2 linked regions of the Caenorhabditis elegans genome follow. The protein of the gene in region 2 interacts with the protein of the main gene of each other region in a pairwise test. Each region holds a gene or a part of one and is shown on either strand. Other genes may lie near its edges. The genes, in order: lgc-22 and C29F5.1.

Region 1 (5,933 bases), on a different chromosome or scaffold from region 2:
CGACTTTCAAGCATCCCCAAAAAACCATCATCAACCATCTCCAAAAAACCGGAAAGATAGAAAAGTTCGGTCAACTCGTTCCTCACAAATTGTCCGATTCTCAGAAAAATTGCTTTGTGACCTCTCTCTTTCGCTGCTCACTAGGAAACGAACAACGGACTGGGTTAAGGATATCATTACTGGAAATGATAAATGGGTATTGTATGTTAGCCATACCAGGAAAAAAGAGTGGGTCCCGGTCGAGGAAACCGCGACACCTGACCTCAAATGAGAACTTCACGGAAAAAAGTGCTTCTCTCAATTGGGCGGGACAGTAAGGGTGTCATTTCCAGAGAGCTTCTTCCAGACTTTGCTACAATCAACGCTGGCCTATACTGCATTTAATTGGAAGAGGTGGTCCATGCTCATCGATTACATCGCCCTAGAGGATCAAAGTTGTTGCTGCTCCATGACAACGCAAGACCGCATACAACTTCTAAGACCCGCCAGAAGCTCCAGACAGTCGGAATCCAAATTTTGTCTTACCCATCGTATTCGCCGGGCTTGGCTCCTACTGACTACCATCTGTTCCGCTCACTCCAGAATCACCTTGCCGGGCAGAAGTTTCATGATCGAAAGGTCGTCGAAACGAAACTTAAGTACTTCCCACCAAAATTTAGAAAACAAAAGTTAGAATTTGGTCTGAATTGAAGTATTGCTAGAATCAATGTTTCATTAAAAATGTCTTTATTATACATGATTTTCGATATGGCGAAATTATTAGTGTCAAGAGAAACTGAGCAAGAACAACTAATTTTTACAAAAAATATTGCAAAAAGAAAACTAAAATTTAAAAAACAAAAGAGAACAATATAACGATAAAGTAGAGAACAGTGGATAAAGCGAAGATGACGTGGTTCAGAGCATGAGCAAATGCAGCGTATTGGAGAGTTGAATCTTCGTGTTTTGAGTTCTTCGGAATTGGAAGGAACTTGTTCACGAGCCCGGCAAATGTGGAGACTCCATGTGGGGGTGGGATGTCTACTTGTGAAGTTGCCATTCTCTCGAGAACTAGGGAAATTACGAAGAGGATCGCTGTCCACGTCATGTTGAAGCCGGCGTATTTCACTGAAAAATTTTGAAATTTCGGAAGCTTTGAGAAAAATTTCGAAAATTTTCTGAGATTTTGCAAAAAATTTATATCAATAATTTCAGAGCGATTTGAAGTTTTGGAAGTTATTGGAAAATTTTTATTATTTTTTTTTGAATTTTAGCAGTCTTTTGATCATTTTTTACAACTTGGTTCTGTAAAATAAAAAAATAATGCTTTTAATTTTTTGATCTAGCTAAACTTCCCAAAAGTGTTGAATTCGAGGTGTTTTTTTTTAATTTCAAAACATTTACAATTCAGCCAAAAGTATTTGACAAACTTTAAAATGTTCAAATTAATTTGGTGCAAAATTGAAATTTAATTTTTCCAAAAATTTAAAAAATAAAACCAAATTGAAATATAAAAAAAAAAAACGTTTAATTTTTCCAAAAAAAAAAACATTGAGGCGAGATGCGATTTTTCAAATAAATCTGGCGGCAAATTCCAATTTCAAATGATTGAAAATTATTTAAAATCGATTTCAAAATTTTTTTGATATTTTTGATGCGACTCCGTCCGTCCACATATTGGCAGTTTTAACAACGAAAAGCCTAACATATTCGAGTATGAAAATGTTTGAATTTTTTGGGAATTATTTCGAAAAATTTCTGAAAATTTTGAAATTTTTTCAAAAACTAAGGTTAACTTTTTTTGATCAAGCTAAACTTTTCAGAGTTTAAATTAGAAGTGGCCAAAATTAAAAATATTTGAAAATATTAAAAAGTTTTATAAGGAAAAAATTTTACGAAAAATAATAAAATTTTAAATTATTGCTAACAATTTAATTTTTAGTCTTTCAATTTAAATTGGCGCAAAACTGAAATGTAGTTTTTTCCGAAAAATAAAATGAAGCGATATGCAATTAACTTTTGTTCAAAAATAATTTTTTTTAATTTTCAAATGATTTTGACGCAAATCCGCTCACATATTAGCTTTCTTGGCACAGAAATAAACTTACAAATAGTTGGAGTATGTGCAGTGAACGATGGAAGTCTCTGAGACACTAAAATAAGTGACAAAATCTGTGCAACTACCGAGAATCCCAAAAGAATCGGCTGGGTCTTAGAAAGTTGGAAGAACACAGCGGCCAGCGTGAATAGAGAGGTGATCAGAGCTGGGAGCAACATTTCGGCGGTGAAATATACCGCATTTCTTCTCAGCGAAATACAGAGCTCACCGTTGTCAGCTTGGACATCGAAGGGATTACGACGAGGATCCGAGAGCTGCTCCACGGTGTATGGGGATTCCTGAAAAAACATTGAAAATGGTGAAAATTGAGACTGTTAGGTAGAAGCTGAAGCTCTGAATTAAAAATTGATAAATATTGCGGTTAAATTAAGCGAAAGCTCTGTACTATATTTACAAGAAGCTGTGAAATGAGAAGCATCACACAAAACTTGCCAATCCATTTTTTCCAGTGCCTCCGTTATCCGGAGAGTGGGTAATTGACTTTAAAGAAAATTTTAATTTCAATTAAAAAAAAAACACACAAAAAATTTGGTTTGAAAAAATGCTATAACTTCTGCAAGTTTCCAAAGTATCTCAAAAACTCACCACAACTTCAACGTCTTCAATCTTCCATCCAGACACGAATGGATCAGTGGTGGCTTCTCTTTCCTTATTCTTAACACCCTCTGCAACTGTGAAGTGTACTGCCATAAGACGTTTGTCGTCGAATTTATAGCAAACCTGAATTTGAAAATTTGAAAATTCAAAAAAGGTTACTTTGTCAAACAAGATTCTATACACTTAAATTCAAATTTTAAAATCTCAAAAACTTTATTCAAAATTTTACATTAATAAGTAATCGGTGAATCATGTTTTCAAACAAGGTGTTACCTACGAATTAGTCACTGGGTTAATACTTTTTCAGCTTTCTAACCCCTATAATTTTGAAATAAATAGAGATAAAAGATATAAAATTTGGGTCGATGCACCATGTTCAAAAATTTTGCACCGAATTGTTCAAGTTTCTCAAAAGATATCTGGCATATTCCATCAAAAATTGCCAACTGACAGAATGTTGTAAACCAGTATTTTTCTATAGTTTTGTACGTGTTTCTAAATTTTTTCAAGCCAAACGGCAAATTGATTCTTAAAACATTGATAATAAAATCTACCCACCCTCTGCATATCATTTGGATAGTCTTCATACTGGAATCTGAACGGTGTAGTGAATGAGAAATCCGACCATAAGTAGATCTGTCCGGTGTAATTTGCAGCCAAAACTTTTGATGTCACCTGTCCAGGGTTTGATGTAGAGCCACCGTTGATCTGCACAATATTTGGGGTCCAAATTTGAATCCAGTAGAAGTTCAACCAACTGAGCCCCCACTGTTCCTTATCCCAAGAGACCATAGTGTCGTTCCAGCTGAGCACGAATCTGCCAAACACCTTCACATTCTGCCGACGTTCGTCAATCTCGACATTGTTGATTCGGACGCTCTCAACTCTCACCACCTTCGTCTTGTTATCAGTCGCATTTTGGTAAGTGGTCTGGATATGGGTCCTGAGCTTCCAGGCCCTGTCTCCTCCCTGACAGGAATGACAAGATTTCCTACAGTTTGCCATCATCCAGACCGCATTGGTAGCACATTCCCCGGTGGCCGCCCATTCGGTGCATTTGGGGTCCGCGTCCTCGCAGCCGCCGGCGGTGCCCGCCGCCCACGCTAACGTGGCGGCCAGTGACGTGGCAATGAGAAGCCGAAGCATTCTGGAAGTATTTAAGTATTGAAGAGTATAACGGACTTGAAAGAATGGTTGAAAAAAAAAGAAGGCAACTGAAAAGAAAAGTGATCATCAATAATTAAGTGGTAGTCAAGGGTAACGAGAGGAATGGAATACGAACCGCCCCGGTTTCGTCGTTTGTATCTTCTTTTTTTGTTGTGTAAACTAGATTTGAAATGGTCGATTTTCAACTTTTTTTTGGTTTTTTTTCTGTTTTTACCCCATATGACTTTGTGTAAGAACGGCGACCTTTTTTGACATGATCAATTGAATTGACCATTTTAAAAATAAATTGATGAAGATATAATGATGACAGTGAGCTTAGAAATTGCTTCGGTCAAAGCCATTCGGCCTGAAAATAACTCGGCCACGGTCACCTGCTAGTCCTATAGGTTACAATTATGATGTTACAGGGAGCCTAGAAAATTCAAAATGGTGACGTCCTAAAAACTTTTTCGGCCAATGAGAGGTTTCGTTTTGTGAGTTCACGTGTGGCTCTTTGGCCATCTCTTTATAACTACAGAAAGCTCCTTTGTGCCGTCACAGGTGATTTGATAAGCCTTAGTGAACGTTTTGAAGATTATTCATAGATTTGAAAATTATTGAAAAAAAAACTTCACTTTCAATTAGTTATGCAGAACGAAAATGTTTACAAACAATTTTTGTTTCTGTTATCGGATTTTCTTATTTCTTTTTTTTTTACAGCTTATATCTCGTTTGGGTTTAGTTTTGTTTAAAAAGTATTACTTCAATCAAAAACTTACAAAAATTAAAAATTTAACCGATATGTGTAATCAAGTGGAGGGGCCTTAGAGGAACTCTGCTTGGATTGAAAGTAGGGAAACGGCGGCCGCAACTTATTAAAATTGAATGAGCAAAAAAGACTGGAGAGAGTAGTTTACTTGAAAAAATTCCATATTTACATAATATAAATTAATGAAAATTAAAACCAATTGATTCTCGGAAAGCAAGGTTTTCATCAAAAGTACGAAACATGCCGATAATGACCACAAACGACTCGAAAAAAGAAACAATAAACGCGACAAAAAAGCAAGAGAGACCCGTCCGCCCAGCTTCACATCCCCCAAACGGGTTGTCCGAAGGCTAGTTAGCCGCCACACGCCGCCGCCACCGCCTTAAGCTTCTTCTCATCAGATCTCGTTGACGACGACGCAACAGGTCTGCTGAGATAATGATAAGGTTGTAAAGTGGGGGCCTGTTCCCGAGATAATGATAATGACGGGGGAGAAAAGACACCTACATGCAAAAACCGACAAAGGGCTTTCCAATGATCAAATCGTTATGGGATTAGACTGTCATGGGATTTTCTGATTTTGGAATCGGGATTTGAGATAGAAACTAGAATTTCGCTGGTTTTTGATTTATGACTTAATTGCTTATGGACATCAAAAGTTTTCCAACTAACAATTTAGAAGAATAAAATTATACATATTTTTTATAGATAATTTTTTTAACCCAGACTGAAAATGAAAGAGAGGACCGGTTTTTTTTTTGGATAAAATGTTTAAAAGGATATTTAAAATTTGAAATTCCGGTTCTTTTTTTTGAAAAATGAAATTTAATTCAAATTATATTTTTTAAAGATATTTGAAATTCTTGTCTTGTCGGAAGATATTTTGTTAAAAATGTTTTTTTTATTTCCCGCCAATTGTTTTTTAAACTAAAGTTTAAATTGTTTTTAAACTTTGAAAAAAATTAAAACAAAATTTGAATTCCCGCCAAAAATTGTTAGATAATTTAAAATCAAAATTATCCCGAAGTGCCAATTTTTTGTTTTAAAAATATAAATTTTGAAATTTCCGCCAAAACTCTTCACAACACTTTGGAACATTAGAATTTTTGTAAAGTTTTTTTTTTGAAATTTCCGGCAAAACTGTTTTCAAATTCCAGTAAAAAAACCAATTTTTAAAATAAAAATTTCCTCCAAAACTGAAAAAATTGAATTTTCGTTTAATTTTTTGCAAAACAAAAAAATAACAAATAATGGAATAAACAATTGAAAAAATTAATTTTAAAAAAAAATTATTACATTCCTACCAAACCTAAAAACATTTCC
Region 2 (5,115 bases):
GAATACCGTATCATTTCCCTGAAACCCAATTTAGATGAAAACGGCTACGAGGTAGATTTGCTATGAGCGAGCTCCATAACAGTCATACTTTTAAGCTAATCGTTTTTCTGTTATCCTGGGATGATGATTATAGGCGCTCTAGAAAATTAAAAAAAAACTGTATTGCTAGCCGATAAAAATGAGGAGTTTGGCAGTTAAGAACAGGACTGGAACATGATAAGTCTTACACACGATTTTTTAAAATTTGAATGCTTTCACAATTAGCAACATTTAGAGACAAGAATAAAGCAACATTTCAAAACTTCCAAACAAGCCTACCATCAAACCATCTTTTGAAAATCCGAAACCGAGCCACATATCAGGCTTCACCAGTTTACTTTCAATTTCAATAATCAAATGTCTTCTTTCATGTTTCCACGTCATCATTGTCTGACAGTCACTGGCATCTTTACATCCATTTGGTAGTTTCCAACAACCTCTTGCAGTTCCACAGTCACTGATATGAGTTACGTGGAAACTAGTGACGTGGCATATGAATAAAATGAAAAAAATGAATAGAATCATCATAAGTTTGAATCAACATTGATCATATCAGAGGGGCCATTTATAGGTGTGTTTTAAGCTGGAAAGTCTAGAAATAACAACGGACATTGTTCTTCTTTTCCAAGAAGTGATGATAAAACTGGTTTCTATTTAATGATTCTCGCTTCCAAAACACAATTATTTATTTGTTAGAACACATTATACAAAAAGGAAATTAAATTGGAAACGGTCATTCATCAATCACTTTTGCTCTTCTGGCTCATCATCTTTGCATTGTGTAGCCAAGAAATCACGGACTCCCTTACTGATTCCACCAGTTGCTTCTTCGTGTTTCGCGAAGATTTCCAGATGAGCTTTTCCTTTCCACACAAGTCCACATCGGAAATTGTCATCGTTCTTAGTCAAGAATTTGTAAACTTTGTCAAGACAGTCGTGAACTTTGCACAAAGAGACCAACGGAAGGGGCTTCATCATTTTAGAGACATCTTGCAAAGTGTAAATAGCTGGCTTTCCGAAATCTCCGTTTCCTTTGAACCAACCAAGAAGCTCCTGCAATTAGATAATTTTTTTGATGGGTGGAAAATGTAAAATTATTGATCTGATGAGTTTTATTTTTTGCGCAATTTCGTAGGCCCATAACTATTTTATATTGAGAAAATCTCTCTCAAAAAACGCTGTTCATTATGCGCTCAAAAAATAATAAAATGGTAAAAGTTGTGGCAGAAGTTGCAAAAAGCGTGGATAAACCTTTTTTGTCCAAGTTGGAAGCATCTGTTGGAAATATCGTACCAAAATCTATCTACATATACTTGGACAAGACATTGACAAGATGTTCATAATTCTGTCTAAGTTACAGTCGAGTATAAAAATCTTTTTTCAAAATATTTCATAAACTTACATGGTTAGCATTAGTGAAGAACAACTGAGCCCACGTGAAAAATGGGAATCCAGCTCCTTGTGGGTATGTTGTGAGTACTTGAAGTGGAACATCATGTGGTACTTCTCCATAATTCACTACTTCAATATCCGGGTTCATATCACTTTTCTTTTTCTCTGGCAGAACTTCAGATTTATCTACTGGGACTCTAAAATAATTTAATTTTTTGTTTACTATTACAAAAAAAAACATACGGAGTGGCTTTGACAGCTGCATAATCAGCACAGTCAACTTCATATCTAACAAGAATTCGGAATTGCCCATATTGATATGAAACAAGTTGGAAGAATGGACCCGTTGAATGAGCACCACGGGGGCGAGTCATTCGATGTTTCAGATTTTGATCAAAAGTTACATGTCCGATTTCCATTAAATCAGAAGCTTCCATTCTGAAATACAATTATTGGTTTGTTTTGAGTAAATAAGAATACCGAAAAGTTTAGAAGTTTTGCTTTGAGAAGGGCTGACAAGGCAGATGTTCACTTTTTGGTGCGAATTTTTCAAGAATTTATTTCAAGTTCTAAACTTTTCTGAATTTTGAAAAATCCAGTTACTAAGCATCACGAAAACTATAAAAACTTTTTAAAAACAAAAAAGTTTTTAATAAACAGATAAAACTAAATTTTCTCGTTTTCAGTTTGCATGCCTACCGTATATCCTCTATTAGTTTTGCACCCCTTTGCTCAACTTTGACAGCTCATATCTCATTTTGTTTTGAACATATAAATAATTAACAAACTACATACTATAGAAAACCACCTAACAAATATTTTATCAGTTGACAACTTTTCTATAGAACAAACGACTACTGAGATATGAGCTGCCAAAGTTGAGCCAAGGGGTGCAAAACTAATAGAGGATATACGGTACCTTATTTTTATTTATTACCTATACATAGGTATATATACTACCTATTTATTTTTACCTAGTGAGCAGAACAGTCTTTCCAACGCGTTCACAATCGATTCGGAACAATCCTTCTCCGGCTTCATTACAGAATGCAAAAATCTTTTGCAAATTGATAGCATCCGTGATAAAATGGAATTGAGAGAAATCGATTGGTTTCTTCTTTTTCTCACTGAGCAAACGTGCCGCAATAATGATGGCATCCAAAGATCCTTCCCGTACCTGTAATTATATTGATTTCCAAATCAGCACATTGCTTGTAAAAATGGATTGATTTTTGTTTTCCAAATAAAAAAATCTACACGCTTCTCGTGCTTCAACTCGTGTTTCAGTCAACAACTTATGAACTCACTTTCAAATGATTGACGTCATAAATAATCACTCCATGATCTTGCATCAACTTGCCACCTGGCCAATAGAATGATTCAACAGGTGCTCCTGGAACAAGAATAGTTGCTGTCTCATCATTGAGATACCATTGATACGATCCAATACGGTCTACATATTTTGTACTTGTTGGTCCTCCCTGTAAAATTGATTTTTATTAACGAAAACAGTAGATGATTCGCTCTCACGTTTACTGTAATCTCACATTTACTTTCATACATTTTTTCCACAAAATCTTCAGCAAATCATTTAATTTTTAATGGATCTTTATACAACAAAAAAATTTCCATATATTTTTAAAAAACTTCCATATATTTCTAATTATAATATTTTCATAAGACATTTAAAATTTTAAGCTAGGAAACTTAAAAATTCTAATTTTTGTAGCAAAAAATCTAGAAGACAACTTTTAAACTAATACAATAAAATATCAAGAAGTTTTACCATGTTGGTTGGTCATAAGTGAATGCTCGGCATCTTCTCAATTGTGAAATTCATTAATAAGTAAAGAAATACAATAGCTAGAAAAACATTCTCCAACCAAAAAAAAAGTCCTACATCGATATTTAATAACTACTCACCTTTCCAGATAAATTGTTTAATGGAAGAAGACCGTATGGTTCTTCTTCAAGACCTTCAAACAACCAGAATCCGTCGGCAGACATATCGAACAGCGGCTATACGGCGATCTGTCCAGCGACGTGTTGTGTTTTAAAGAGAGGCCATTCTTCAGCACAACGGATCCCTACGAAAGAGAGAGAGAGAGCACATGAGGGGGTGTTCGGGAACAAAAAATAGTCTATGAAGACAGAGACTCAGATAAGATTACAATGCGGGGGAGCAGGAGCTCCCGTCCAATCTCATCGACAAAGTTTCGAAACACCGATGATGATGACGGGATCCCAATATCTCGGAGAAAATAAAGACAATGAAAAGATTTCGTATAGATTTGGAGGACACACGCACACATCGATTGACCATCACCTGGAGTGGGAGCATTGGGCTACGTTTTTGTGATAACGAATAATTTAAAATGTTGAGAATAAGTATTTCAGCGTTCGCTTAATTTATAATTTTCTAAAGACAGAAATCTGTATCACGAGGCTGTAGAATGACAAATATTTTATTTGAAAGCTCATAATGATAAATTTTAGACAGAACGATTTCCCAACCAGTTAGATTTCAAACCTCAAAAAGATTAGCAAATAAAAATTCGAGCAACATTAAACAAAAACTTGGGAACTTTTTTATTCAAAACGCTTCCATACTGTTCACAAAGGATGAATAAATATAAATTTCTGTAGACTGTTAATTCCCTTCAAAATATGCTAAATAATGTTGATTGGATATTTAAAAAAGAGACTCTGAAGAATATCGATGTTTGTGATCAATTGGATATCGAGGAGTATCAATTTCCAGAAGATTGTGCCAACAAAGGATCAAATAGAAGCTTTAGGGTTAGAATTGGGCAAACGCTGTCATCCAGAAAATTGGCCACTTGTGGCGTCCCACAAGGCGCAGTTCTGTCACCACTTTTGTTTGGTATCTATGTTAATGATATATCATCAATATTACCCGAAAAAGTAGCATGTAAACAGTTTGCAGATGACACGAAATTGTATGTATCGACCCCTAAGACTGAAAGCGAAAACAATTTACAGTCTGCTCTAGATGCTGTAGTAGATTGGACAAGGGGATCAAAACTCACTCTAAACCAATCAAAGACAGTTCACGTCACTGTAGAAAAACGTAGAATAGATTTCAAATACCACCTAGACGGTTACCCTATTGAACGAAAAGCTATTACCAGAGACCTTGGATTTTTATTCTCTGAAAAGCTGGATTTCTCTGAGCATTGGAAGAAATGTATCAATCTAGCTAAATTTCAACTGGCCAACATGTTCAACCAGTACAGTACCTCCAATAAGAAACTAATGATTCTCTTATACAAAACTTTCATCCGCCCTCGTTTAGAATATGGAACAGTAGTGTCTTCTCCGACAAAAAAATCGGATGAGAAAGCAATAGAGTCTGTACAAAACGCATTTTCTAGGCGCCTTTATAGTAGAATCAAAAAAAGATATATTAATCCAACTGATAAAGATTACAAAACTGCCATGGAACGTAACGAACTATTCGACCTCCAAACCTTAAGCACGAGACGTAAAATAATTGACAGAATCCAAGTAATCAGAATGAATACTGGTAAAGTAGACTTAAAAACATCTGAGTTTTTTGAGCAACAAGAGACCCACACTCGTTCTAAAAAGAAATATATCTGGAGCACAGGAAAATCTAAACTTAGGAGACACTTTTTTGTCAACAGAACACTACCCACAATG

Evidence for each region.
Region 1: the proteins of C29F5.1 (region 2) and lgc-22 interact in a two-hybrid assay, tested with the Caenorhabditis elegans proteins (one large-scale study listed by BioGRID).

Annotation. Positions count from the first base shown.
Region 1 is NC_003282.8:4,299,217-4,305,149, reverse strand, and holds lgc-22 (ShKT domain-containing protein), read right to left. Parts: upstream 3,845-5,933; 5' UTR 3,842-3,844; coding exon 3,254-3,841; intron 2,819-3,253; coding exon 2,684-2,818; intron 2,579-2,683; coding exon 2,531-2,578; intron 2,377-2,530; coding exon 2,088-2,376; intron 1,108-2,087; coding exon 830-1,107; 3' UTR 702-829; downstream 1-701.
Region 2 is NC_003280.10:6,301,878-6,306,992, reverse strand, and holds C29F5.1 (START domain-containing protein), read right to left. Parts: upstream 3,469-5,115; 5' UTR 3,439-3,468; coding exon 3,355-3,438; intron 2,913-3,354; coding exon 2,739-2,912; intron 2,609-2,738; coding exon 2,406-2,608; intron 1,870-2,405; coding exon 1,675-1,869; intron 1,629-1,674; coding exon 1,442-1,628; intron 1,093-1,441; coding exon 784-1,092; 3' UTR 710-783; downstream 1-709. Other genes in the region: C29F5.8 (DOMON domain-containing protein), read right to left, coding at 1-18, 319-564.